Linked DNA regions of Oryzias latipes. The protein of the gene in region 3 interacts with the protein of the main gene of each other region in a biochemical or structural test. Links are inferred from orthologs where the notes say so. Each region holds a gene or a part of one and is shown on either strand. Other genes may lie near its edges. The genes, in order: frizzled-7, syndecan-2-A and syntenin-1.

The links.
Region 1: the proteins of syntenin-1 (region 3) and frizzled-7 interact in a biophysical measurement, tested with the Homo sapiens proteins (2 studies listed by IntAct, with this or other methods). The link is inferred for Oryzias latipes from reciprocal best matches to the Homo sapiens genes SDCBP and FZD7.
Region 2: the proteins of syntenin-1 (region 3) and syndecan-2-A form a complex in vitro, tested with the Homo sapiens proteins (3 studies listed by BioGRID and IntAct, with this or other methods). The link is inferred for Oryzias latipes from reciprocal best matches to the Homo sapiens genes SDCBP and SDC2.

The regions. Positions count from the first base shown.
Region 1 is NC_019879.2:16,921,714-16,932,136, forward strand, and holds frizzled-7, read right to left. Parts: upstream 5,046-10,423; 5' UTR 4,571-5,045; coding exon 2,873-4,570; 3' UTR 1,439-2,872; downstream 1-1,438. UniProt on the Homo sapiens protein: Receptor for Wnt proteins.
Region 2 is NC_019869.2:20,660,081-20,670,680, reverse strand, and holds the start of syndecan-2-A, read right to left. Parts: upstream 6,420-10,600; 5' UTR 6,042-6,419; coding exon 5,982-6,041; intron 2,607-5,981; exon of another isoform or gene 1,849-2,606; intron 1,768-1,848; exon of another isoform or gene 1-1,767. Other genes in the region: ppp1r36 (protein phosphatase 1 regulatory subunit 36), read right to left, coding at 10,230-10,308. UniProt on the Homo sapiens protein: Cell surface proteoglycan which regulates dendritic arbor morphogenesis.
Region 3 is NC_019865.2:5,709,707-5,719,514, forward strand, and holds part of syntenin-1, read right to left. Parts: intron 5,186-9,808; 5' UTR 5,185-5,185; coding exon 5,134-5,184; intron 4,759-5,133; coding exon 4,662-4,758; intron 2,442-4,661; coding exon 2,341-2,441; intron 1,612-2,340; coding exon 1,447-1,611; intron 1-1,446. UniProt on the Homo sapiens protein: Multifunctional adapter protein involved in diverse array of functions including trafficking of transmembrane proteins, neuro and immunomodulation, exosome biogenesis, and tumorigenesis.

The DNA.
Region 1 (10,423 bases), on a different chromosome or scaffold from region 3:
AAGATCAAAAGATTTTTTCAAAAATCATAACTATAAGGAAAAAGAAAAACATACTAGGAGCTGATCTTTAAAAACCATATTGGATAAAATAGCTTGAACCAAAAAGAAAAAAACTCTTGATTCTATATGTGGCCATGAGAGGTCAGTGTGTTACTAGTTTTTCTAAAACTATAGGTTTTCTCAAAATTTAACAATTAGTATTTCTAGTATATACTATTTTGCTTTGAAAAAAAACAATGAATTTTTCAAATTACGTTTTTTAATATAGGCTTGTGTCATGTTTTCTGCATTTTTTAAGCCTAAAAGAAATCTAATAAAGTTTATGAGCCTATTTTTAGGTTTCTTTTTTATATATCTTTTAGTAGCATAAATGTTTCCTTTTACTTAAATTGAAAAATATATGGAAATTTTATTTTTAAGTCAGCATAAAAAACAAAGTTTAAATTATAATTACGAGGTCCTCATAATGATGAAACAAACAAGATAGAGATTCGTTGTAAACCAAAAATGTGTACACAGAGACTAGTGGATGCCTTACAAACTTTATATCACTTTTATTCAAATGTACACTTGCAAAAAGGCTTATCTCAGTAAAAAGAGAAAAGAAGTAAAAAAAAAAAAAGGTACCCTCTCATAAATACAAAGTTTTCAAATGTTTTACTTGCTGATTTGGATTTGTTGTTAAAGTAAAATAAACAGTTAATTATGAAAGAGGAAAGGTCAGTCTAGTGTCATTGGAAATGGCAGATCTTAGCTGTCTCAAGGCATTAGCAGAATTACTTTATCATATTTGGTTAAAAGAAAAAAAACAACCCAATGACTGACTGTGGATTCGCCGACTCACTTCCAATACGTCAATCATTTGAGCCGACTTTAACCTGGGTTTGAGGTATGCAGTACATTCACATGGAAAATATCACAAATTTACTATATACAAACTGCCTTTAGGATAACACAAAGGTAGGTACAAAGCAGAAACTTCTTAACAATAATAATAATAATAAAAATATAGATGGATTGAGGGCACAGCTTTGGAGATTTAAAAGATCTGAAGTTGACCATGAAACTGCACATTGACCTACAATCTTACAGATAGTTCCTATGTTTTATAAAGGGACACAGGACATAGACAGAGAAACTATGTTGTTAAAGAGCAAAATGACCTTATGGTCACATGCCACCATCCAGCTGATTCAGATTCCGCGTATGTTTTCCTAATTTTATTGTTTAGTCAGGGTGGATAGAGCAGCATTGTGACTTGTGCCATCCCCCATAAAAACATGTTCGTAGTGTTAAAGTTAAAACCTATCAAACTGATCACCTTATTGATACCGCGCATATCTTCCAAGGATAATTAACTTTTTTTGTATATATATATAATATATATATATATATATATATATATATATATATATATATATATATATATATATATATATATATATATATATATATGTTCTGATCATGTGATCTGACAAACATTCAATGTCCCGTTTTAGATAAAGTGGACATCACACACGTTGCGTTACCAATCTGTTACACGCTGAGGTGATTTAGTCCCTAGAAAACACTAAACAATGGCTAAAGTTAATCGAATCTGCCTACACTGCATTTTCAAATAGAAAAATCCCTGCAACCTCTGACCTTCTACTGACATTTCTCTAATAGATCAGACAAAGTCTGAACAGAGACCAGCAGTTTCACTGTTCTTTTGAAGGATATTTAAAATAATCCAGACACTAAAATAACATCACAACTTGTTCAGTCTGCTTGTGTAGAAGCACAAAAAATAACTTCAGAACATGAAGGAAGACGGTAAGGAAGTAAAAGTTATACTGAGCAGGTGTGAACTTCTTTAGGTAGAACAAAATAAGATCAGAGCACCAGAGCAGCCATTTGCACTCCCACGGATTAAACGTGGGGCAGGAAAATGCTACTTTGGGTGTCTTTGAGGCTTAACAGAAAGTCTGTCTGATAGGGAATCCCACTGCGGAAGGACCACACACAGAGACCAACAATGGGCTTGGTGTGTCTCAGTTACAGCGCGTACATTAGACATTTGTGTGGCTTCGTTAAAATGCAAGATCCAAGGTAAGTCAGTTCTGTAACAGCCATTCTTTTACACTTAACAATAACGGTGCAAACCAGTATAAGAAAACTTCATTCATCCTTATATTGACCATTAGTAACTTTAGTGAATACCCTTCAGTCTCAGACATTAAAATCGTTTGGTTTTTTTTTTTAAAGGAAAATATAGAAGAAAAATATTTCTGTGAAAAACTTGGCACATAAAACAGACTTGGAAGAACTTCTCTCACTTGAAGAGATGCAGCTGTGTGCTGAAAACCTAACACAATACAGCTTTTTCCGTGTTCAGCTAAAAGCACATAATGTCTATTGAATTCACAGTCAAAGGTTGTTGGTGGTTCAACAATCATACCATTAAAAGCATTTGGAGCCGTGCAGGCACGCTTCTGGACAAATGAGTCCATCCTGTTAGTCCACCTTAAAATGGCAACAAAAAATGGACTATGATATTTCTATTGTGACATGAGGATACCATTGATAATATGCAAATAGTAACTTCACCAGTCTGGGATTTCAGTCCAGGGACTAGCACAGACTTTAACACCAGTTTTTGTCTGAAAATCGATGGGAAAGCAATGGTTTTGATGTAACTGATGAGCAACAGAAACAAGCGAAATAAAGGTTCGTCCGACGTTTTGAGGCAACAGATAAGAGTTTTGCTGTTGCCAAATACTGAGGGGGGGGTCCAAAGGGAGAAACATGTTGACTTAAAAGCTTTTCGACCTCATTTCTTATGGTGTTTTGTCCAAAACTGTAATGTGACGCAATTTATTTCCTCCAATTTTCACACTGTTGTTTCCCCATGGTTGCCATTGCCAAGTCTCTTGTAGAACCTCCGCCATGACTGAAGAGTCTTCCCTGACCACACCCAAAAGCCAGAGGTAATTCCAACTATCATGGTCATCAGGTATTTAATCATGAACACAGTGAAGTCCGGCGTCATGGGAGCAAAGTTGTGAACCGGACATGGAACAGCAAAGCGCTTACAGGTTTGCATGTGCCAGGTGCGCTCCCAATGCTCCCTGAAGGCCTGCTCGTAGAAGTAACACGCAATCACTATGGTGGCTGGTACTGTGTAGAGCACACTGAAGACACCGATCCGCACCATGAGCTTTTCCAGCTTCTCCGTTTTGGTTCCGTCGTGCTTCATTATGGTGCGGATTCGGAAGAGGGACACAAAGCCAGCGAGGAGGAAGGACGTGCCGATGAACAGGTAGACAAAAAGTGGAGCCAGCACAAACCCACGGAGGGCGTCCACGTTGAAGATCCCGACAAAGCACACCCCTGTCAGGACATCGCCATCCACCTGGCCCATGGCGAGTATGGTGATGGTTTTGATGGCTGGTACCGCCCATGCAGCCAAGTGAAAGTACTGGGAGTTTGCTTCGATTGCCTCGTGACCCCATTTCATCCCAGCAGAAAGGAACCATGTGAGGGATAAAATTACCCACCAGATGGAACTGGCCATTCCAAAAAAATACAGCACCATAAAGAGGATCGTGCAACCCTCTTTTTTCGTCCCTTGAGCTACAGTCCTGAAGCCTTCCCCCTTGAACTTATCCACGCAGACAACTTTGTCCTCCAGGAAAAACCCAGCAGCGTATGCAACAGCCACCATGAAATAACAACCGGATAGGAAGATGATGGGTCGCTCAGGGTACCTGAACCGCCTCATGTCTACTAAATATGTGAGCACAGTAAATAAAGTGCTCACACAACAAAGGATGGACCAGATGCCAACCCAAAGTCGGCCAAATTTAACCTCGTCCTCTCGGAAATACATGATCCCACTTGGCTTAGTGGGCTCACAGGGGGCCCCGCAGTCCTTGACCCCCATAAATCTGTAGCCGAGGTAGGAAGGCACTTCCAGCTGCAAGGGACAGGAGAACTGGTGGTAGGAATTGTGTGGAGGTTGAGGTGGATTCGGAAACCTGTTGGGTGGAACCGTTACAAGCTCAGGCACATGTGGGGATGAGGAGGAGGGTGAGCCGGGTTCGGATGTGTTCTGGCCAACGCAGATCTCGCTGCCTCCGTTCACCGGGAAAGCCTCGCAGTGCAGTCGCTCCGGCCACTGGAAGCCGAATTTGTTCATTAGGGCTTCGCACCCCTGCCGTGCCCGCTCACACAGCGACCGACACGGGGGGATGGCCTGCTCTAGCACGGTACAGACCGGCGCGTACATGGAGCACAGGAAGAACTTCAGTTCGGTAGAGCACTGGACCTTAACCAGCGGGTAAAACTGGTGCACCTCGAGTCCTGCGTCCTCCTGGTTTGTGTGGCCCAGGAGGTTTGGCATGATGGTCTGGTTGTAGGCGATGTCGGTGCAAAGCGGGATGGAAATGGGCTGGCAAAATCCGTGTTCCGGAACTGATATTCCACTGTCGCTGTAGTGTTGAGCCGAAGCGGCTGGCATACACAGCCCGCACACAAGCCACATGATCCACAGCCACAAGGAGTCAGTGGATAACCTGGCCGCCGCCATAGTTGAGGAGGAGGGGGAGGGAAAGAAAAACTTTGATCCAACTAAGGGCAACTCGAAAAGGCTTAAAAACACCAAAAAGTCCGCAGCGGTTTTAAAACTCAACTTACAGTCCCAACAATTACTGTAAAAGATAGTCCAAATCGAGTTTTTTCCCTGTATTTAAGGTAATAACTCCAGGAAAAGCGTCCGTCGCGTCATGACTTCTTAGTGTTCTTTGTAAGTGACTCCAAGCCGTCCACTCTCACTCCCACTCAATGGAAAACAACACTTCCAAGTCAGTTTTCTTCAGCCGTAAAAAAAAATCCCAGCGTCTCCCAAACATTAAGCTTCTCACTTCGGCGAAATTCGGGAAACACACCACCGAATGGCCTATATCTAGAACATTGGGGCTAAACTTCACGCTGAGCGTCGGTTCACACGCTGGGCGGTTGGAAGTCCAGAAGCTCGCTCTCACTCCTTGCAGATTCCACCGGTTTCAAGGCGCCCATTCCCTTCACTCGCCGCCCCCCCAATAGATGACGGGGCGCCTTAAAACCAGCGTCACGTCTCAGCCAATCCGGGCGTTTGTTTTCCTACGTGACTTGTTCCTGATTGGTTTTAATTTCCCCATTGCAAGGAAATATGCTACACTAATAACTTGACACTAGAGATTTCCATTAAATAAATTTTTTTCTATTGAGATATTTTTATGAACCTTTTCCACCCTTTTTGACTTGGAGCTTTTTACTTTATTGGTATTAGAAACTAAAACCAATGCCTGTACCAAAATATAGTTAACAAACATTATTATTTTATTAGTTTCTTATTAAAGACCCTCTCAAATAAAAATGGTGTTATTTTGTGTTTATTTCATGTTCTTGTAGCATTATTTTCACAATACATAAAGAAAATTAACACTAAAACTACATTTCTGGGTATTTCCTTATTCAAATCGTGGTGAATAAGAAAGAGCCGAAAGTAAATAAAACGGAGGGAAAAAACGTGGTTGTTGCATACAAACTGCAATCGGTTGGCCACAAGCTCCCCTGCTCCACTCCATTCCAATGCATCCACATGCAGAGAAATAGATCCATGTAAAGGCCTGTTCACACCGGGATGAATTTCGCCGGCGATTTTCGCCGACGTTTAACGCCTCGTGACTAAACAAAGGGCACCAATGAGAGTGTGCACGCCGACGCGAAAAAACGCCACGCGACAAAGCGTCAAAAAAAAAAACGCCTCGGGTTCGTTTTTTTTTTTCGACGCGTCGCGTCGAAATCTATTCGACCAATGAGAATGGCGCTTTTGCACACGTGTCTGGAGCTTCTGAAGTTACAGTAAAACACAACTTGGGGGCGCTCAAACACAAAACTGCCTTGCTGAGCACACATACCAGCGAAGAAGATAGACGCCAAGTAGCGTCAACACTGCCGCAAAGAAATAATGACGGACATTCTTAAATATCCCCTTACCAAGTACCAGTTGGAGCTACTGATGCTTGAAATATTCATGTTTTCTTTGTTTGATTCTGACAAGCGCGTAAATACTTGCTATCTTCTTCTGAGTGAAAAGCGACTTTAAGAAGCGTAAAGTTGCGCAGCGCCACCTTGTGTACAGGAGTATTTCTGTTTACATTAAGCGCCATCTAATGTCAGGGAATGAAATTGCATGTTCGCTCGGCTCACCGTCAGCGAAAATCGCCTGGGTGTGAACACAAAAAACGTGGCGAAAAACGCTGGCGAATAACGCCTGGCGAATATTCGTCCCGGTGTGTACGGGCCTTAAGTCTTTGTTTTTCTCTTTTGAGCCGTTATCTGGCTCAAAACTATTTCGCTGGATGGCTCAAATATTGCTTACTTTCTTTGTTGCACTGCTAATGTTAGCGTAGGGTTGTGAGGGGCTGTAAGCTAGTGGGATAGAGTATAAACAAAGAGATAATGGAAATTGAAGACAGGCTTACTCCATGCAAACTATCCCACCTGCAACTCAGAGGCAATTTTTTGGTGAACTGCCAAGGCAGGATGTAGGCATGGGAAAGGGCCCCAAATGCCATGACAAAAAATCTGAAACATTTCTAAGTTTTCTTTTTGATTTCTAATTCAAAAGTGGCTCACTTTAAATTTTTAACAATTGCATCCAAAATTGCAGTTTACTATCTATTTACACACAAATAAAAAAAAAGGTTGCAAGTGGGACACGTGACGGCCTACAGAAACTGATAAAAATCTAAAAAAGTAGAACAATAAACAAAAAGTAGAGTTGATTCCAGCATTTTAAACCAGTAAACAGGGCTGTGTTTTACATGGTCTGGTTTAGGGCATCATTTCAAACAATAAGGCACAGCTCCTTCTCCGTTTCCTCACTGTAGGGCGGTGAAAACAACAGTCAGAACAGCTGTCATTTAAAGTGGCAGCATGATCATCTGAGCAAAGAAAAGCAGGCTTGGAGGGAATGAATGGAGCTGCTGCATGGCAGTATCGCTGCATTTGGTGTGTTTCTACCCTGAGTGGGCTTAAAAGATGGTGGGGGTTGGCTGCGATGGGGGAAGGGACAGGAAGAAGAGAAAAGGTCAAAGAGGGCAGGGGGAGAAGGAAAAGGAGTGGGAGGAGAGGTTTAGCCAAAAGGAGATGTCAGAGGAGTTAAATGAAGTATCCCAGAGAAAAGTGACCAGAGATCAAACTTTCTTTATAGACTTTTTAAAGAAACAAAATGAAATTGCTCACGGAATGCTAACAGTCTGCCGTATTGTTGCTGTATAAAATCTGAAAAAAGTTGCTGAACTATCTGACTTGTTTCTCCAAAGGCAAGGCCTACTTTGTGTCTTTCAGCAACTTAGCAATTCAAAACGACTCAGGCTCTCAAAAACTCTGATCCTAATGCATGCAAGATGGCCTTACTCTACCCCACAAAAATTCACCCTTAGCTCATCCAGGGCGCTACTGCTAATAAAAGTATAGGAGCTGAATACAAATTTCAAGTATTTAAACAAGCATGGAGTCTTCAAAGGGTTTTGGATTTTACCGCTCACAGAAAAAGACCCCCAAAAGGGATGGTAATTGCTGTTACAACAAACTGAACACAGAGGCGCAGTCATTTGAATCACAGATTTAAATCTAACTTTTTAGAAACTCTTTCTTTAAATATTTCTGTTTTAAAAAACTGAAAGAAGAAAAAAAAAATAAAGAAAACTAAATTCTAATTTCATTTAAACTCTGAGTGAAATTTAATCAAATTGTTGTTGGTGACCTTTGCTTCTAATATGGTCATCTTGTATCTGTGTTAATTTGATCACAGCCAGCAATAATTTAATTACCAAAAAAAGCAGATGGTACATAAAGAGACAAAAGCTTTACAAGTAAGTCAACACATTACTTGTTAACTGCAAGAAAAAAGAGGAAATTCGCATAAGGAACAAAAAGAGAGGCTAACTAATAACATATATGTTCACATTATTGAATCTGTGGCTTGGCTTCTCACACTGTCACAACATCCAGGCAAAGTGCTATTTCATGTATGGACACATGTTCAATTGATACATGTAGGAAAAGTATTGACTGCATGCATATCACATTGTCACTAGTGATGGCAGTTGGTTAAAAAAAATTGTCGAAAGACTATCCCAGTTTGACTAGTAACTGATTTATGTAAAAAAAAATGTTGTTATTTTTACCCAACAACAGTAAAATCAGGAAAAAATAAATAAATATAAACAGTTTCTGAGGAAAATAGGGAAAACCCAAAAATACAATTTAAAGGTTATTTGCTATAGCTAATTAAATATTTCTTCTTGGAAAAATATGAACATATTTTACTACTGCTATTCTATGTCTGTAGATTTTGATTGGCTGGACATGTCATCTAGATTGTCAACAGTTGTGTGGTGCATCTTGAGCTGGTTATAAAGAAGTAAATGCAAAAATATTCAAGTTGTACCCTGGGACAATGTGAGCAAATGCATTTGTTTGATAGTTATATTTGAAGTTTCATGCTACAGCATCAGCTAGATAAAGTATGCACAAAGTCCAATAATTTTCAAAAACACAAAGACGGGCAACAGTCTTTTTAGTCTTGTGCAAATACTTGTAGCAGGATTATAGAGTTTTGGATGGGGTCTGTCCTTGGCTTGTTTTCATTCACTGTCTGCGGTGCGAGCCCCAGCAGTTAGTAGCCACATCAGGTCAAATGGAACGAACACCATCATGTCAATGTGCAACGGTTTGTTTGTGTGAGTGCATATGTTTGTGGATAGAGTCAGCAGTGGTCAAGCAGATGGGTAGCCATCCAGACAGTCACTCACTGTTTGGACTGCAGTCCACTGCAGCTGGAGGGGGGGGAAAGAGTTATACAAACACATGGATTTTCAGCAGATTAAGGCGAGATATAAACTGAGAAAAAAAAGATGATGATGGCTTGGACTGTGCACGTGTCATTTGAGCTGGACCCCTGTGTAAAGTACTGGAGGTGCCACTTAAACCCACCACTCAGTGACTATTTTATGTTCAGTTAAAGTGGAAAAATCCTGTTTAGTTTGGTTTAAAGAGGAATTTTAGCTTAACGACATGTCGATTTCCAAAGCCAGCAAGCATGCTGATTTATCGTAGGAATACATCAATTAAATATTCATAGCTTAGCAAGACTACAGAACTTTTAAAGTTTGCAGCTTTTTTTACTTATACATTTGCATCATCTCTATAGACTAAATAACTATTAAAAGCAACAACACCAATCTTTTATCCAATTTTGCTTTTTATGACAGTATTTTCTGTGGGGGTTTTTTCACATGGAAATGGTTGAGAAGTTCGGGGAAAATCCTGAGAGAAATCCTGACACACTACTTAAAACAATATTTGTCTGGGCCCCACTATGTAATTAAGTCTTACCCTAAAGTCTCTTTCACACACCACTTCTTAAACAGGGTGGCAACTGAGTGTGCTGCTGTCAAGCCTGAATTACCTTTTTGGTGTTTTGTTGTAAAACTTTTTGACCAAACCCTTATTAGATCTGACACAGTTGCGTGTGTACGGCTATTTAGGCAGGAAATGCCTGAGATGGAAACCGACACATCAATGAATGGATTTTGACATGCTAATGTACAGTCTTACAACCTTAACAACCAAAAAACATGAACAGAAACAATTAGTTTAACTGTCCAACTAATAATCAGCTGTCAGCCTAACAACCATCTGCTAAATACTGTTTGAATTCCCACTCCAATCATTTTTTTTATCTATTTAAAAGGTCCCAGTGGTCTTTTTAAATATAATTATGCCCTCTTTTTGTCCAAAATGGAAAAAAAACTATCATTTATAGGGAATAGTTTCTGCAGAGCAACAATAGTTCATTAGAATTTTACATCTGAGTTGTAGGCAGGACTGTTGGGGCAGAGTAAGTCCGTCTCCACTTCCCATCATTTATCTGTTTACACTCTCTCCCGCTAGCTTACAGCCCCTCACACCCACAACCTAACATTAGTGGTGCAACAATAACAATGAGCACAATTGGAGCTATCCAGTTGTACAGTTTTGAACCTGATGCAAGCTCAGACTGGAAAAATGACGACGTGCATGGATCTGTGTCTGCAAGTGGATGCGTGAGAATGGAGCGGAGTAGAAAACATGTGGCCTGACGATTGTAGCTTCTACGTCACTGCTTCAAGCTTTTTCCAAAAGCATTTTTTCGGTTGCTCTTGAATCACAATGATTTGAGTAACGAAATACTCAGCAATGCAATTTTGAGCTTAATTTTTTCACGAAAAATGCCACCATAACATGTTAAAAACACCAAAATCATGAATTTCTTTTTTTGAGTGGGTATTTGAATTTCCGTGATTTACGCATGCACTTTTAGTTTCTCATTAAAGATGTTATGAAAAAT
Region 2 (10,600 bases), on a different chromosome or scaffold from region 3:
CGCCAGCTCAGACGAGGAAAACAAAGACGTAGATGGATCCATTTGTTTATAAGTCAATGCATCCGAATGGAGCAGAGCAGGGAGCTTGTGCCCCGCCCGGCCATTTTTCTGTTACAAAAATGCTATTTTTCCCAACAGCATTTCTTCGTCTGCTCCTGATGTACAACGATTTGACCCAAAGAATATTCATAAATGCAATTTATTTAGCTTAATTTCCTTTAAATATGTCCTCCATCATCAAACAAATGTCACAAGAACATGTTACAAACTCCAATAAACACCACCTTGATTCATAAATCATAAATAGTATTGACTTCAATATTTATTGGCTTTTAATTATAGAAATTTGAATCATTCTTTTAGTTCTTTTAGGATGACATCACGTTTCTATCCGTCTCATAGCATCAGGATTCATTTCAGAGTTTCCCACGCTTCCCCCTCTGCAGCTGTGCTTCCTCCTCTCCAGGGTTCAAAGAGAGTTTCCATAAAGCGATGAAACAACATCAGCTGCAACAATTGTCCTGCGTTGCTTTATGATTTGTTTGTGTGACCTGAAAAACGTCACCCAGTTCCATGCAGACCGACCAGCTCCTGTTGGGAGGCCTGAAGCAGCTCACACTCAGCAGGAACTTCAGCTTTTATTGTGAAGGAAAAAACACACAGACACGGTATCTTTGAAGGTGACTGATCAAAATGTGATATTCCAGTGGATCTGTTTTCAGCATGTTACCAAATAAAATGCATACAATTATTTAAAACTGCACAAAATTGATATTAGGGAGCTTCTTTGTGCAAAATTTAAAAAACAACACTTGGTTTTCTATTTTTGTTCCTTATTTTTTCATTTCAATTGTCTGACCTGTGAAAAAAAAGGATTAAAGTTGTTTTCAAACCCCCCATGACGGATTATTATTCTTTGCATTTTTTCAAACCAAAAATCATCACACTTACATTTCTCAAAGGAAATGCATGTCGATACGAACTACGCTGTTGAAAGCCTTCCTTATTCAAACCGTCAGATCCTGTCAGAGAAAAATGAATGTTCTCGTTGAGAAGAGTCCTTTATTCTCTCCCCAACTCCCCCGAAACCGGTTTTTGTTCCCGCACTCGCTCCTGTGGAGCTGTCAAAACTACCGTTGGGCTCGAGTGACGCGGCTGAAGCGGAGCGTTTCAGTCAGAAACGTGGAGAAAAGTGTTGTTTTTTTTTTTTTTACTCAAACTTGAGCAGCAGGTGTCTGCATGAATGTGGCCGCTAAACATGACAACATATGTGATTCTACTTCAGTGATAACATCTATATCTCATCTCCCCCACCCCTTAATGCCAATAGACTTTTCCAGGAGGCTGCGGTTCCATGTGCAAAATGTCTTTGATCGGATCAAAGATCGCAGAAGTAGAATATGTAAAGACTCTGTTGACCTCAAAGTTTGTTCAACAAGTTTCTGTCTTGTGAAGATCAATGTTCAATGTTATATAAAAGTCTGTTTCTTGTCTGGATCTTCTTGAGCTTCTCCAGTCCAAAAAGCTTGACTGAACTGGTCAACACTATCTCTTACCAAAGGTGGAACCATGATAGGGCTCAGATTCGGGTCCTGGCTGGTTTTCTCCGCGTTTGCAGCCTCCTACGACGCCTTACAATGGTGAGCACGTCTCACCCTGAATATTCATGGGGAGCCCTCTTTTTTCCTCTCTGGGGCTCACTGAGAGGAAACACCATGTACCCTTGAGTGCAGCTCCTCTTCATCAGACCTTTATCTTCTTAGGGTCCTACAAAGGAAGTCAAAGCGGTCATAAACTGCTTCCAGGTCAAGCATCGGGTGATGGAGGTCCACTTGTGATTATTGCCACCTGATCTTTGTTGCTTTCCTGATCTTCTGTTTCTTCCTGCTTATGATGTCAATGTCAACCACGAGTCGGAACACAAACAAGCTCAGATTAAGCTCTTCACCCTTTACCGCCAGAGATGTTACCGGTGACGCCTAAATTTGACAAACCGTAAATCTTTGACCGTAACAACACAATCAACGTGAATCAGCTGATTCTGACGTGGAGAAGAGCGGCTTTTTAAGCAGATATGAAAAGCAAAATCAGCTGAATTGTTGGTGGCGTAAGCACTTTACCACTGTAAAGTGTTACATAACAGCACCAACCTGCTTTTTTTCCGCTTCAGAATCCGATGGAATTACGATAAAATAATTGCGTAAACGATGAAAGAATTACAGCAGTTGTAAGAACGTCAACACTGGAGCTAAAGCTAAAAGGTCAATGAAACAACTGTTGGAACGACGACAACCACTCAGACTCTCCAAAATGACTGTCTTAGAGATATATGACCACACCAGCTAAAGGTAACCATGGTAACATTAACGCTTTAAAACTATCGTCAACACAAAATTCAAATGCGAAAAAAAAGTTGTGGTTGCTAGGAAGAATTGTCAAATGTTGTCAAACGTGAACCCGCTGATTCTGATGTGGAGTAAAGTGGCTTTTAGTATCAGCTTTGCACCGACACGCAACACGTTATCAACGTTAAGTGTTGCATATACGTGCAATGGTGGTTTTCTTTGCGACAGAATCATTAGTTTTACGTTGATTTCGTAAACACATGACTACTGTAATGTTTTGCACATCAGCCCAAAGCCGCTACTTCTCCGCTTCAGAATCCACTGGAATTACGTTACTGCGTTAACGATTGAAGAGTTACGCTGGTCAAAAGAATGTTAACACCGGAGCTAAAGCTGTAGGATTAATGCAACAAATGTTGGAATAACAATGACAGCTCATACTCCTCAAAATGATTGTCCTTGGGATGCACGACCCCACCACCTAATTTTAGCCATGGCAACATAAACACTTCAAAAATATCGTCAACACAAATTTCAAATACCAAGAAAGTTATCGGGACACAACGGTTGCTAGGGAGAATTTTCAAATGTAAAACTACTAGAGTTTCAAGACATTTGTTAGATTTTCTGGAGGAAAAACTGCAGAATAACATCCAAAAACATATTTGATCTTCTACCCCTGTGATTTACCGGCTTCTTACTTCTATTCCGTCATCTTAGCAACAAAGTGGAGGATATTTAGGACTAAAAGGTCTGCCCTTTCTCGCATCCTCTTCCACTTTAGAGACGCAGGAGGAATATAAACATCTCCTCTTCCTCTCTCCTCAGAGTTTACATTGAATGAGTCTCTAAGGACAGGAAAAAAGAGAAAGGCGGGGCCAATGAAAGTCCCCCGGCTCCCCCTTCCTCGTGATCTACTTAGTAACCGTGTTGGTGGTGGACGGCCTTCGATCTGTTTTCTTTTGTGCGAGCCGCTGGTCTTCAGGGAGCCTGCCAGAGAAACAGCCTGTGAGGTGGAGGTGGAGGAGGAAGGGGAACTTCTCAAACCTACATTTGTCCAAACTCTATGCCACCACAATGTGTGTGTGTGTGGGGGGGGGTGGGGGGGGGTGAAACAAGCCCGTTTTTATTGGTGGAAAAATGGAAACGCCTAACCACTTCTCCCATCTCTCCACCTCTTTTCAGGCTCTTTCACTCTAGAATCAACTTAGAGACCGCTTCCACACAAGAACACTAGGTCCAGATCGGTTCAACATGCATACCACACTAAACCCACACCATAATCCTCCCCCCACCAAAAACTTTCAGCCAAAAAAGTACCAACCCCCCACAAACCCCGAAAGCCCTTCATTAGATGTAGGTTATCATCCGTATCTTGTCATTTGTTTGTTTGCGCTTAGGATGCTGCCCACACAAAAAGATAGTTTTTTTGCGTCATAAAAACGACCATTTCTGAAAACTCTAGCCAAAGTAAACATTTTGTATTAGTCTGATTTTGTGCGTCCAAAAATCGGGGTTTGTGCTGATGGTAGCACAGAACCGTCCTTCTGATTGGCTAAATTGAGTCGGGATTCCTCCAGTCGCTAAAGGGCTAGCATATGTAGAGCAGGGCTAAGCGGCGTTTTATGAAGGTTAATGTTGATAAAAACCATTTTGACAACAATTGTGAACAGGATGTCATCTAAAAAAAAAACGGAATGGTGAGTCGATTCAGTTTTTGAACCCTTTAACTCCAAAGCTTCAGCTCTAGTGTTGATATTTTTTCAGTTACAAGAACTTTTCAACTATTTTTGCAATTAAAGTAATTCCAGCAGATTCTAAAGCAGAGGGAAACCGTCTGATCTGGAACACTTCACTGAAGTGAAGCGCTCACCCAATCGACGAGAACCAGCGGATTCTGTTTCGGAGAAGAGCGACTTTGTGCGGATATTGGTGCAAAGCGCAAGGCTACTTTTCTCCCCGCTTAAGAATCCGATAGCATTACTTTAATTCCATTTAGGGTCGAAGAGTTGGGGTAGTTGAAAGAATTTCAAAGCTCAAGTGTAAAAGGGTTAAGAAACTAGTAAACATATTCACGATGCTTAATCGAGGAGAACGAATAGACGTGCATAAAGAGTGAGTCATAGACAAATGTGGAAGAGAGTATCCCATAGTTTTTCCAATTTCAAACTTCCTTATAAATCAGATAATAATAATAAGAAGAAGAATAAGAGTTCTATTTTTGTTCTCAGTGACCCATGGACCACTACTGTTTCACGGCCTTGGGGGTTGGGGACAAAAGTACACAAAGCACGTGTGTGATATTTCCCTTCGGGAACACACCCATATCACCACATTAGCTAAATTGCAATTTTTAAATCGGACAAGTTATTGTGGGTTGGACTCCCTTTTAACCAGAATTGACTTATTATTTGGGGATCATCTCTGCGTCGAACACGGTTCTTGTTGGTCCTCACAAAAGCATGATCCCATAACATATAGTCCCAAAGAACAAATACAAGCACACAAGAGGTACAACAGCTGGCAAGAAACGTGAGCTGGTGAATGAACCCAACCTCCTCTGGATGGTTGGGTTCATTCTGGATGTGAAGGAGAGTAGAAAAAGCTTGGTCCCCTTGCAACGCCCCCCAAAGGCTCCATTAGGGATTGCGTAATGGTGGGAAGATGGACTGAGTGCGCCCTGGGGGGCTCACAGTGGTTTCACTTTAACAAACAAACATCCATCATGCTTATACTGAGAAAAAGATGAAAGCAAACTTTCAGGAGGTCCATCAGAACCAAACAGATCCACTGACCTTCAGGTGTTCCAGGACCTCAAAACTCAACAGAGATGGATCCAAAGTGAATTTGTTGATACTCCAACACCAAATTCAGACAATTACAAGTTTCACTTCCAACTAAAATGCGTCCATTTTAAGCTACGTACACACCGATGCCTGTTTGTGTTCAGCTTTTATGATACTTTGACTCTTGGTTGGTGGCTGGTGTGATTGTAGCTTTAGGACTCCCTACATGTCTCCAGAATGTGACACCAACCAACCATGGAGCAGAACCTCAGACTGCTGTTCAGACGAGGACAGCACGGGTCAGAACAGCACGGGTCAGAACAGCACGGGTCAGAACAGCACGGGTCAGAACAGCACGGGTCAGAACAGCACGGGTCAGAGCGTTTGGCTAAGAAGGTATGCACATGAAGATCCTGCAGAACTAGACCCCAGGTCCGCAGTGATTCAACGATTTACAAAAGAAGATTGGTTCAAGGAACCTGAGAAGGTCAAGCTGCTCTCTTCAGCTGCTGTTGTTTCACCACCATAAAGAGCAGAAGGAGGAACTGAAGGACTTTTCATTCCAGGTCTGCATTCCTGAAAGTCAAATCTGTGGATTGATCTCCAAACTGGAGGAGCCACTTCACTTCTCTGTTTTGAAGATGGAGAAGTTCTCCTCGTGAAGCTCAGACCTCCTCAGTCTAATCACAGATAAGCTGCATCTGTCTGACAAATGACTTCTTCACTTGACGTCTGAAGGTGAGCGGAGTGCGAGTCGACCCGCCGTTGGGTCCTTCAGCTGTGAAGGCTGAACTTTTTCAAACAGTCTTCACGCGGACGGAGCTGCGCGTGCGTGTCCGGGAGAACTCACCGTGTCCCCGCAGAGGAAGACGCTCAGCGCGACGGTCAGCACGATCCACGCGCTCCTCATGGTTCCTCCGCACGGGTCCAACAACAACCTTCCCCTCCTCCTCTTCCTCCTGCAGTTCGGAGACGTGTTGCGCCGGAGGGGGGTTTACTCCTCCTCCTCTTCCTCCTCCTCCTCCTGCCCCTCCGCAAACCTGACTGAATTTACGCAAACAGGCGCCCCCGGCTGCTGAAATCCCCGCGAGGACACGTCGCTGGCTCTGAGGAAACGAGGGCAGACTGAGGCGCGGGCGCTCCGGCGAGCGCGTGCGCCTCTCTTCACCGAGACACCGGGAGAACTCGCGCCAAAGTCGCACAAACAAAAACGTGAAGAGAGCCGCGCGGCCGTTACCGGAGGAGTCACGCTCTGACGCGTCCGTCTGCGCGTGGGCGAGCTGATCCTTAGGAGCGGAGTCAGCTGATCATCAGCTGCGCAAAGAGGCGCGCACTCGTTCGGCACGCGGACAAAAGCTCCCCCTGCTGGCGCGAGGCAACTTCTCTCTGTGACGTCCTTTAATATCAAAACTTCAAACATATATCACAAAATAAAGCAGTTATGATACACAGGACATAGATTTTCACCTACAGAACATAGTTTAGTCTAAATTTCACATTTTACTCAATAAAATCTTCCTATAATTTAGCTGATAATCCTTTTATCTTGTTGAAAAACTCTGTAGGACTTTGGTTGTATATAAAATTTACAATTGTAACACTAAATCTATACTCATAATAGTTTAGCACTTATTCTATGCTGACCAAAAATGTAATTTTTCTAAGAATTCATGATTAATAATGAAGCCATATCAAGAATTTGCTGTACTGAAGAGTTAAACAATCAGCCAATCAAACACACACTGGTCAGACATGACAGATTAGCTGCTCTATTTCTGTTTTTTTTTCATGTACATAAATATATTTTAATGCTTTTAGTATATGATTTGTGAATTTTCGTAAATTTCTGCATTCTAACCATCACATGGATTTGGTTTAACCCACGTCTGGCAACTACCTGCCTGCTTTCGTCATTACTGAGCAACATATGAAATTCCACTTCTGCGCCAATGATACTCTGCAATTTCTCAATGAAACCAGGTCAAACCTGTCCGTTAAGGGTTTGAGCTGATTGGGGTGAGGTCACTTTAGGAAATGCCCCACCTTCATTTTACCTTTATAACCATTAAAACTATCTTCAAAGGCTTCAGGTTTCTTTCGCAAAAGTCTCCCATCCCCCAGCCCTCTGAAGTTCTCAGGCCTCTTCCTCAGGATTTATCTCTCCTCCTGGTGTCCCAGATTATATGGCCAATTAGGACTCAGGCAAAGCCCCTTCTGTTGCCAGCATGTGCGTGTTTGTGTGTGTGGAAGGCCACACTAGGACACGTGATGACCCAGAACACTGACCCACTGAGATTGTTCAGTGGATTGTGGTCACAAATTTATGTGAGAAAGGGTATCAACGTGGAAACGAGAACTTTTGAGCAAGGGGGTTTCACACTGATCTGTTTGGTCTGGATCATGTTTGGTAGGTCTAAAAACTCTGATCTGATCGGGCTGAAAAAAAAGAGGGCAGATGTTATGCTTATAAAGTCACTCCAGATTACCCAGCAAACCAAAAAGGGCCCCGTTTACTAAATACACCTGGTTGACTATCACAGCATTTGCAACATGGCATTTGTTTGATCAGCAAAATAGTACACACAAAACATTTGGCAGCTTTGCTTTCGTTGAATATACGATATGTGCAGTTTTAGAAGAAGTTACAGAAAATTGGGAGAAGAAAATATACATAAATTAATCATGCCGGTAGGCCACCTTTCGGCATGTGCCATCAGGGGTTGCCACAGAGAATCAGCTTTCACCGATTCGCACAGGTGGTAGAGAATTTTACGCCAGATGTCCTTCCTGACACAACCCTGTATTTGATCTGGGCTAGATAATGACACAGGGTGCCAAGAACCCATACTTGGCTTCCCCCGGCTGCATAGGCAGCAGCCTGAAGGGTCTTGCTCAAAGACACACACTGGATGAAGCTCATCATGCCCCCTTAACCCTTGTGCTATCCTAGACACTTTGACGTTAGGAGTTGGGTCATCTAGAGCAGTGTTTTTCAACCAGTGTGCCGCGGCACACTAGTGTGCCGTGGGAGATGGCCAAGTGTGCCGTGGGAAATTGCCCTCATTAACTGATCTAAAAACATTTCCCATCTCCAGGATTTTAGCTCTCTGTTCATCCAAACAGACCCTGATAAAACACTGAGGAGTTAGGAATATGAAAGATCGTAAAATACTTTTTCTTTGCGTTTATTTTATTTTATTAAAGACATTTTGATAAGAATGAGTACCGCGATTCAGCTGCACCTTCGGCTGTATTTTGGAAAAGTCCCGTGTTGGGGGGGTTAATCACATGTCATCGGTCTGACCAATCAGAAGTGCTTAAAGTCTTCACTTCCTTGTCCCGATTTAGCTCGTAAAGTCGCTCAGTTCTAACAGAAATACCAGCTAAAGCTCGTCTTTAGCGCTGTAGCTTTCCACAGAATCCGATGTCAGACCGTGGAACAAGTGAACAAAACAATGAAGCTCCGAAAACCGATCTTCGGCCGTTTTATGCACTACATTTCCCATGATGCATTGGGTTGTGAGAGTGACAGCGCAAAAGGAGATCTGTTGTTAAACGTCTTGAAACTAACGAACACACAAACTGTTTTTAAATCTTTTAACTTAACTTTTATTGCATCTTTTAGAAAAAAACAGCTGCAGTTTCCAGCTTTTTCTGTAACAATTATCTCAAAAATGCATGTGAGATTGTGCAGGGGCTGTAGATCAATACAGACTATGAGTTTGTCCTTTTTTTTTAATTTTTGGATGCTGGTGTGTCGCGGGATTTTTTTTAAGGTTAAAGTGTGCCGTGGCTCAGAAAAGGTTGAAAAACACTGATCTAGACCCACTAGACAGTGCGCTGAACCTTTTTTCTTCAAGGATTTGTGATCTTCACTGGTTTCCATGGATTACATGAAATCTTTCCACCTTTATCCACCTTTGTCATGGTAGGGAGAACACATCAATGTAAGGGTGGGGTCATCTAAGATAGCACAAGGGGTAAAAACAGACCCTGGATTCTCAGGGACCAGGTTCGGTAACTTTAGTGTGAAGTTCGGAAAGGTACGTGAAAACTGGAACATCCAAATGATTGTATGAGTTGAAGAAAGCACCTCTTTTGCACCTGTTTAAAAGTTTAGGAATTGTCAGCTGAGATTGATTGGTCACAGCCTATACTTGTTGGCCATTGTCAGTAAATGTACAGACTAGATTGGTGGTGTTCGAGTGTGCGTTGCTACGGCATCCCGCCTTTGGGCTCGTGACACAAAAAAACATGTTAACCTTTTTAAAGGCCTGTAATCTGTTTCTTCTAGCAACATTCCATTTCTCCTGTTCATTCCCCACTCTACATTGCAATAATTTAACATTTGCAAAACACAGGATGTGCCCAATTTTCCTTTACCACATTATCTACACTAAAAAGCACACTTTAAATACTTTTTTTTCCTGCCTTATAATCCGGAGTGCTTTATATGTGGATTAATCATGGTTGTGCTTAATGATCTAAAAAGCTATTTTAAGTGGTACACGGCACTCTGTCAAAGTATCCGTTTTGTTGTGTTTTTTTACAAAATGCAAAAAAAGGTTGAGTGTTTTGTAAATACGCTAACCCAGCTACCTTGTCGGACTGTGTGTTTTTTACCTGTTACCAACAATTTTAGGATTTAGCGTAGTCTCAGTAACATTTGTTGTTGGTAGTGTGTTGCAAACAAGGTTAGGAGTTACAGACCTGTGAATACGCTGACGTGGCTAACGTGTAACATGTCACAAACCAGTTCTTGAGTTACTGTGGACACAGTTAATATAGTCTGACTGACTTAGGGACTTATCTCTGACTCTTTTGTCTCGCTTAATGTGCCTAATATTTCGGTGCCCCTTTTTTATGATATAAATTCAAAAATAAACCATTTATTGATGGTGCGCCTTTTAATCCACTGCACCCTACAGTTAAAAAATATGGTACATAATATTGTTTGTACTTTTAATCTACTTTGAATTCACTTTTTTCTTTATAAAGGATCTTAATAAATTAAGTTCCAAGTGTTGGAAGAGTGACACATTTCACAAGTAGAACCAAAAAAACAAGTGAGTCCGGTGTAACGTTCTCCTCCTCTTCGTCAGTTTTCCATCTGTTCCACTAAAGGTCTCAGGCTGCTGCGGCAGAACTGACTGAGAGGTTTCCCGATAATGGAAGAACTGAGAACACAAAAAGCATTGATCATCATTTTTTTATCAAACAGGAACATTTCTGCTGCAGCTTTTATGCTTGCTGATTGGTGTTATGCACTGTGTTTCAGCATAATCAACTGAAAAATTTAGTGCATTGTTTAGTATTTTATGCATTTCAACTGAACAATGTTGACTTATCAGATGTTCCAGATGAAAAAGGCTCACATGAATAACAACATAGTTCACAGAAAAATCAACTGTTCTGATCAATTGCTTGTCATTTTGCTCCTCTAGACATTTCTGGGTAGTGTAGTCAAAC
Region 3 (9,808 bases):
ACATGTCAAATCAAATCAAACTTTATAAAGCACATTCCATATAAAAGCATAACTCAAAGTGCTTATATATTGTCTGCAAAACTTTGAAACCATAAAAAGTGAACTGAGATATAACGAAGGAACACTGTACATTTGAGATGAAAGCTTTTTAGTGTGATAAAAAAGCTTTTAAATCGGAGCTACAGCCATAACCATAAACACATTCAAATTTGACCTTTATTTGTAAAATTGTGTTTAATATGCTTTAAGACTGTTTTAAAACCAGAGAATGTTTGTTAAATCAGTGAGGAAAAAAGAAAAAAGGAAGAAGAAAAAAAAGAAAAGCTGCTCTAAAGAAAAAGAAAAAACTATTTTTTAGGTCATACTAAACTGGAGCTTGTTTTGCTTCAGCTGTAAGACGATCATCCTCCTTCACTGAACCGCATTCCCTGGTTCAAGGTGGAAGACGACACTCCCTCCATGTGACAAAGATGCTCTTTTGTTTACTTGAATCAAAACGAAAATGTTTTCACTCTTTCCGTTGATCCATAGATTGCCATCGAAGCCTCAACTTTACCTCTGCTTTACAACCAAATGCATTTGTTGCATCAAACATCAGTTTTTATAGCAGCTCAAATTGAGAAGATCTCAGAAGTTCCTTTTGGACCTTTTTAAATGTTCCTTCACGTCTTTTATGAGATGATGACAGTAGTCACCAAACTGAATGAAATCATTGCAAGTCCTGACTTTGAACTGACCCCATTTCCCTTTAGGAAGACAAACAGTGTTTCAGTAAATCAAAGGGAGGATCTCTATGGGGCAGAAAAATGTACAAAAGAGTAGAAAAAACAAGAATGCACAGAAGCAGAACAATACACCAGTCCAGTATTTTAACCCTTCGGTTAATTTTCACTTCAGGGAGGAAAGAGGATACATTCACCTCTGTTAAGAGGACAGAGGCATTTCTAGGCCAAACTAAAGAAAGGATTTCTCGTGGGTAATCCTTCAGCGTCTCCTGGTTTCCTCATCGTTTAAGCACCATTACCAAAATTAAGAACATCTCATAAAGATCTTCTCAGCTTTTTTTTAAGCAAAAGAAGGAAGGATGAGAGGACTTTTAGGCATTTTACATCCTACTGTAAACTCTAAATGAGATTTATTAAAGCTCAGTGATTCATAGAGAAGAGGAATCGCTGATGGGCAGAGCTTTAAAACATAAAAATGACCACCAAAATCTTCTGGGAACTTATAGGTAATGAAAGGTGAGCAAGTCAGAAGCGATTATCTACCGGAAATCATCTTTATCAGAGAATAATGGCGTGCCGTCAGGAGGGCAGAGTGAAGCAGGAATGGATCTACGTCAGAGAGGTGGAGGAGCTCCAGTTGGAAGCGAGAGCAGAGGAGCTGCAGTTATCTTTACTTGCTATCAGAGCAGAAGTGCGAGCCACGTCACACGAGCGGACTCACGTTGTCGATGGCCCGGAGCCGCAGCCCCACCTTCCTGTCCTGGTCCTTACAGAGGATCACCTCTCGGATCCCCGGGCGGATCTCAGCCCGCAGGATGCCGATGTCTGACCCGGTCACGGGCCGCACCATACCCCCGACCCCTGAGCTGGCGGGCACCGCCACTTGCTGGGAGGGGGGATAGAAGGAAGAAAAGGCTTTTTAGAAGGGGGCAGAAAAACTCAACAATCAATGAGATGTTTTTCTCTCCCTTCATCCATGAATGAAACACAAAATGCGTCAAGCTAATTGGAGACATGATAATTTCAGCACAGTGAGATCAGTAAATAAATGAATTAAAAAGTAATGACTGACATGAACATTTCTGCTGAATAAGTGACCGTTTTAGTTCCGCTTTAGAAATGTGGCCAGAATGACTCGGCACATTGACACGTAACCAAAGAGACAGACTTTGTGGTTGTACAGCTTGAAAGGCAGCAGTGATAATCTGTTTGATACTACAAGTTTAAAAATCCTAAAAAATAAATAAAAAAAAGGGGGATTTATGTTTCATCAAGAAAAATGCACTGATGTTGAAAATATTGATATTTTTATGTCAGCTACCAATTGAGCACATATGACATGCATATTTGTGCATCTTTGAAAAAAAAAATCATCTTTGAATTTAAGATGAAAAACAACAACAGAGCAGATCATCATACAATATATACAGAATATATAAAAATATACAGTTTCGGAACAGGCACTCCATATTCTAATTTTTCCATGTATTAAAAAAAAAGAAAAACATGAAAAATTAGAAAAAAGGTCACCCCATTTGTTCTTTCATTGAATGCAATACACTTCCAGACAAATATGCTTTCAAAGTGTAAAAAAACTACAAACTGCATTCCATACATTGTCCCCGACGGGCAGCAGAGCCAAGTTCTTCTGGACTTCGTCACTGTTGAGGGCCAGACCCATGTAGTCTCCCAGCTCCCCCAGATTTGGGTACAAACCTGAGAGGATAAAGAACAGAAGGAAACGGAAAGAATGTTGGTGAAAAAATACGAAGGATGGACTTTAAAGACAGGAAAAGACTGGAGATGAGAAAAATTTAAAACAATCCTAGATACTACTGATGAATAAATGTTGGGATTTTAATGAGGGCTATATCGGCCATGTTCACTCTGACAATGGAAAAACTCCACCCAGAAAAGGACATTAATTTAGTTCTACCACACGGGCGTGTTTATTGTAAAATCGTATTTTTGGTGATTGTAACAGGTTGTTGTAGCTTTTTTTTTTTTTAATTATGGAGGACATATAAGAAGAATATTTAAACTGTTTTTCTGAGTATTTCTTTATTCTAGTAGTTGTGATAAACAGAAGCAGATGGAAAATATTTTGTGAGAAAAAAGTTTGTTATTACGTAGAAACTACAATTGGTGGGCCACAAACTCCCTGCTCCGCTCTATTCAGATGCATCCACTTGTTTTTCTCGTCTGAGCTGGAATCTGGATCAAAACTCTACGGATGGATAGCTCCAATATTGCTCGCCATTTTTGCTACACTGGTAATGTGAGGTTGGGGTTGTGAAGGACTGTAAGCTAGCATAGAGAGCACGTAAACATGGGGATGATGGGAAATCAGTGCAGGCTTACTTCTGCGCCAAGAAGACAAATTTCTGATAAACTCTTGCTGCTCTGCAGAAACTATGTTCTAGAAAACAACACAGGTTTTTTGATTTTTACTAAAAACAACATAATCATAACTAAAAGGCCACGGGGAACGCTTTTAAAATGGATCAACATATGATTGGAGCGGGACTTTAACCAATGACAGAATATACTGTAGTCCAGTGTTTTTCAACCTTTTTTGAGCCACGGCACACTTTAACCTTGACGAAAATCCCGCGGCACACCAGCATCCAAAAATTTAAAAAAAAAGGAGAAAATCATACTAGTCTGTATTGATCTACAGTCCCTCCGTAATCTCACATGGATTTTTGTGATGATTGTGGCAAAAAAAGCTGGACGCTGCAGCTGTTTTTTCTAAAAGATGTAATAAAAGTTAAGTTAAAAGATTTAAAAACAGTTTGATGTGTGTTCATTGTGTTTTCAAGACGTTTAACAACAAAAAATCATTGTGCGCTGAGACGCTGTCACTTTAACCCAATGCATCATGGGAGATCTAGTGCAAACAGCTGCCGAATGCAGACAGACTAGCGTCTCTGAGCTTCATTGTTTTGTTCACTTGTTCCACGGTCTGATACCGGATCCTGCGGAAAGATACACCGCTAAAGACGAGCTTTAGCTGATATTTTTGTTAGAACTGAGCGATTTTATGAGCTGAATCAGAACAAGGAAGTGAAGACTTTAGGCCTCCAAGAATGATTGGTGGAGACAGTTAAAGGGGTGGGAATTTTCCGAAAACGTCTGAAACTACGGCTAGATTCTTATCAAAATGTCTTTAATAGAATCAAATAAACACAAAGAAAAAAGTGTTTTACAATCTTTCATATTCCTAACTACTCATTGTTTTATCAGGACCTGTTTGGATGAACAAAGAGCTGATATCCTGGAGACGGAAAATGTTTTTAGATCAGTTATTGAGGGCAATTTCCCACGGCACACTGGTTGAAAAACACTGCTGTAGATAAACAAACAAGAGGTTTCCAAACATTTGTCCCTTAAGCTTTAGATTTAAACCAAATCTCCAATCCCGTCCATATTTATGTTAACATCCTCTTTTCCCTTTCAGGTCACGTTTAAAACCTAGTCCCTTCCTTATGCCAACCCCCCCAACACCATATCCCCACTGCATTACTGCCTGAGCCAGTCACCATGGTGAGGAAACACAAAGAACCAAAAGCACTCAGGACTTTGCATCCAAATAGGGAAGAGAAAGTAAATGAAAGGAACAATAAGAGGGAAGATAATCAAAATGTTGTCCTTTGCAAAGCCTGGAGGTTGTCTGTTCGTATTTTCCATTTTATAGAATCATTAAGAGGCTTCCTGCAGACATCACTCCACATGTAAGACAACTCTACTCTGGAAGTGAAGCCTCTTGTTTTTCTAAACAACTTTAGCTCCGATCTTCAACACCAATCAGCTCCTTTAACAGACTTCATCCTCTGCAAAACTTTGTCCATACATTACCAGTTTACACTGCAGCTCAACAGAAGGGAAAGGGTCAATCTGGAAAGTGGTTCTGGAGTTCGAACCGGTCCCACTCACCGGATGCTGGCATGGCAACAGCAGCAAGCTCAGGCTGGGAGCTTCCCTCAGTGATGGCAGGCATGGGGGCAGCAGTCTGAGCGAACTGGACCTGAGCCTGAAAACAGCAAACACTTCAGTCAGCTCTGTTTAAATGCAATTTCAGATAAACATATATGGTCAGGACTTTCTGCGTTACTGAACCGTTTGCGCTTAGAGACATATATTCCATCGCCGACTGAAAAAATGTTGGTTAATCTGACCACATCCGAGGCCCATCAACCAGGTTACCACAGTGTGAAAACAGAATTTAGACCTCATGAAAAACCACGACAGTGGTCACTTTCCTTATTGTGTTTGGGATCATTGTTGAAAATCAATGCATTATAAGAGTTTTAGAGTTGATTCAAAATTTTGTCTGCATCACATAAACTATAAAAACTTCCTATAACCCAAAGTTAAAGTCACGTCACTGACACAAAGTTCCTCTTACCTTGATGACCTTGTCGACCTTGAGGTCCTCGAGGGATGGATACAGAGACATGCTGAGGAGAAAACACAAACATCTGGGAGTGAAGGTCAGGATCATGAAAAGCCTTTTTGTTTGATTTTTTTAACTTAGGTTGAAACATTTTTCATTTCGTGTATTAATGTTCAGTTCTATTTCCTGCATTTAGTTTTTATTAAATTTAACCTTTTTTGTTTTTTACATGCATGGTCTAATTTTTATGACTATGAGGGATTCAGTGGGTTCAGAAAAAGGAATATATAGTTAAAATTTGGATTACCATTTTTCTATTTTCATTGAATATTTAAAAGGAAATGTAATCTATATTCTTAGTTTTTTTGTTTTCTAGCAATATTTATACTTTCATCTCTATTTCTTTTTTTAAACGCTTCCTCATTCTGTTGTGATTTGATTGATTGATTGATTGATTGATTGATTGATTGGACAAATAGATGGATGTGTTTTAATTCTATAGATTTTTATTCTTTTTATATTGTGTGTGTTTTATATTTTATTGTACTTGGGTTATTTCCAAGGGTTTATTGTCATATGCACAGTGTGAAGCACTTTATGTTTACATGAAAAGTGTAACGTAAACATAAAAACAGTAGAATTACTTCCAGCTGACCTCAAATTCACGCCTGTGTTCACAATTCCTTTGGGTCACTGAACTGATGCTCTGGTACCAAAGTGCTTTGACCACAGCGGCAGAATCCATCACATAAACATCTTCAGTGGAGGAAAACTAACGATATTTTCAAGGTTTTGCATCACATCCGAGAAGGCCTCATATGCAGAGTCATGCTAAAATGGATTTATACAACGGCTTTGTTGTTTGTTAACTTTCTGTATGGTTTATTTTTACATGTATTCATTTAACAAAAGACTTTATTTCAAAGCAACTTGCATGTGAGATGCAAAACAAGCAAACACTGGGTCAATCGCACACTACTAGACACACTTCTAGTTCAGCTCAGAGAAAAATGTCCCGTTCTGTTTTTTTAGGCACAGGAAGCTGCGGAAGAGGTCACTCCAGACCATTTTTTTTTAAAAATAGGGAGTGAAGCAGCTGTGGGTGTAGAGTTGGAAAACTCACTGCACCTTTGTGGGTCGCAGAGCTGAAGAGTTTGAAACAGTTTCCTCGAAGCAGAGATATTTATTTGGATTTATAAATACCACATGAAGACATATATGTCCTAAACAAAGGAGTCTTTTTGGAGCTTAGCACCACAAACTTTAAGATCCGGACTGATCAGCTGCCATCAGAAGGAAGCTTTAAAAACGATCACATCCACGTCTACAGCTCATGTTTTCATCGTCCACACTCCATGAATAAATGGGTTTAATCTGCACTTATTCTCATAACATGGGAATGTGTTAAGGTCAAATGACAACAGGACGCAAACAGGCTTTGAGATTACGAAAACACAGAAATACCAAATTTGAAACAGTTTTTTTTTTAAACATTTCCACCCCCCAAAATGTGGAATCAGGAAATGAGTCAGCTGACTGAGGTTTCAAAACAACGCAGCAGCTCAGAAACCATCTGTAGTATGATGGCAGGCAGCTAATGAGCAAAGTATGTCTGAGAGTGGAATTTGACTATGCATGTTTAATTGATACCATTACTTTTATACACTAAACAACTCACATTCCACAAAGAGCCTTTGTGTTGAAAAGACTCGGACGCAAATCCTAAGCCTGCAAAGAAACAGCTGATCTCACCCTTGCCAGTTCTTCTTTTCACTTTTTTTTATGTTTGATAGAAAAAACTAAACTTACAAAGTAGGAATTACCTAAAATCATTTAGATTCCATTAGATCAAATTTCCTACATCACAATTAAGCCTTTTCTCAAATGGCGTTTTATCGTCCAGCTCCTGATTCACAGTCATTTGAATAAAGAAATACTCAGAAATTAATTTATTTTATATATGTCCTCCATCATGAGAAAACGCCACAATAACATGTTAAAAACACTGAAAACACAATTGTCGTCAGAGTGGGTCTTCAGGCAGGTTAGATTATTAACCCTTAAACCAGACAGGAACTGTTTCATTATCTAAGCGAACTACTGGCTCATCATGAAATGCTGTTATGAAAGACTTAATTACGTTTTTCTTATTAAAAAAAAGACAGAAGATGCAAAAATACTAAGTAAAAGGCAAGAAAAATTTAGCTTAGACAGAACACGTTGTACCCAAAGTATTCATCATGTATACAGTCTATTTACTGATATAGTCATCTCACATGGCATGTGTTTACGATCCAAGTGCCCGACTCTTAGTTCTCTTCTTCTGCATAGCTTCCCGTTTCAGACAGGAGCTCAATGGTAGGAAATGATAGGGACGTTTGTGTCTCCAAACAGGTGCTGTTAAAGTAAAGGCGGATGTGTTTTACACAATGTGAGATCACGAGAAATGCCAGGTGAAGTTTGCATTCTCTTTTTATTACCATTTGCGTCAGCAGATCTTATTAGATAGAAACGTGCAGCTGTTAGATCAAGTTAATGCTGCTTTTTAGGAACCTTTTTATTTTATGTGAAAACGTTTCAAATCCTCCAAAATCCGCAAAGGAATCTCAACTGATCAGAATCTATCCACCAGTTCACACACAGAATGACACTGAAACAGCGCGGTCTAATCAGGAAAAATCATGTGACACATAGACAGGAAAAGACGCTGGAGCAGGACTTTTAACATGTCGGTTAAGACCAAAGAGGCCACCGTGCAGCACTAAGTCAATCATTATATCGATGTGCATTAGGAGGCTGATGTAAAGTATGGTTCTGAGATCAGAGTAGCTCTTCTGTGAGGCAGACTGTCAGCTTTGAAGAGCTGCTGCTTCAAGTGTGAAGATTAGAAACATCAGAGCTACAAAAACAGGTCCTACAATCCAGTTTATGTAGAGAGCATAAATCAAGCAACAGTTGGTTTTTTAACATCACTGAGGGCTCACTCCATTCTGCTCATCTCAGTCCTCCAGGACAAGTGCATCATTGTGTGTGTGTGGACACAGAGAGGCCTTTTTGTTAACCTTCCACTGTTTACTCTTCAGCTATGTGTTTGCTTGCTTTGTATGCCTCTCTCATACAGACTCTCTGGCTGAACATGAATACGCCTGGAAACAAAACAGCAGCATTTGAGCAACCCTTCAGATGACATAACAGGATCATTGAGACGTCTGCCACTGCGACGGAAAACAAGGCGCAGATCATTTTACTGAAATATACAAGAAGGAACCCTTTCTGAAGGAGGTTAAAAAAGTTTTTTTTATGGATTGTTAAGGTAAAGATTTCTGATGACGGAAAATATATATGAAGGTCACATTAACAAGTGAAGGTTAACATGACAAAAGAATTTTCTTTTGTTTCAGACTGTTAAATATGTGTGTACTGGTTTCCTGTTAGTTTTTTTAAAACAAATGTTTCATCTAACTTGCTTGCAAAAAAAAGTCAAGAAACTCAAAGTAGTGTTATATTAGGAGGAATGCCAAAGAAAGCTTGTGCAAAGGCTCAGACACACCAGGCCTGGCATGTGTTTGCTCCCATTCAACATATTTTGGTGTGAGCAGCCCATTCAGCAGAACTCGATCTAAAGCTTCTGCTTTATTCTGAAAATCTAGCAGATTATTCATTTACTGTTTTTTTTTTTTTTTTTATAAACTTTACTTCTACTTGAGTCTATAAATATAATGTCAAACTAACAAATTCCTTTAAAAACATGAACGGAAAACAAACAAATGAAAACATGTTAAAGCAGCCCTTAACTTCTAAGAATTATATTTGGTTTGGTTTAAGATGGACTCACCACACACTTAAAATAACCAAAAATGACAGGCTTAAATAATTAAAAAGGTTTAATTTATAAGTGATAGTTCATCCCTGTTCTTACCAGTGTTGTGCCTCAGTTCTTATAACAATTAGCTTATTTTTTTTCTTATTAACCATTAGCCAAACTTTTTGAGTGATCCACTTTGATTGGAAACTTGAGATATACATTTTTTTTATAGTTAGCCACTCTGATATAATTATTTTTCCTATTTTAAATGATATAAGCTTTAAATTTAAACTCTTATCCTATCAAAATAATACATTTTCACTGATCACCATTTATTTTGATAAAGGTACAGCCGGAAGAAACGAGAAACATGACTTATTAAGACTGGAAAGGGGGAAAAAATGCTGACGTCTTCGGGAATCAAGGAAAGAAAAAGGGGAAACTAAAGCAAAAGCATTCAAATTAATTGGCCCGCGTGCTCAAAACTGAGAACAGTTGTGTTGATCAGACACTAATCTCCACAAAGGCCGCTTTGGGTGGGTTTTTAAATAAGTTAACAACCCACAACACTATAAATAAATCAGCAGAATAATCAAATTCTTTATACTCTTGTGATGATGATATTTTAAAACAGACTCTCGTTTCGAGGCGAAGCTAACTTGAGACGCGCGAGATGTTCCTGAACGTTACCCGAAACTGTACACACATATAAGAAGCAGCATTGTTGATATAGAAAACATATATTTTTCACGTTCATAAATACAATAGCATGAGACTGAAGCGAGCGCGTGGATTAAAATAGAATAAAATTTGAAGAAGAAGGAGCTCAAAGAAGCGTCTTTGTTCCGGCATAAACAGCTAGAGGGAGGTTAGCTAACGGCG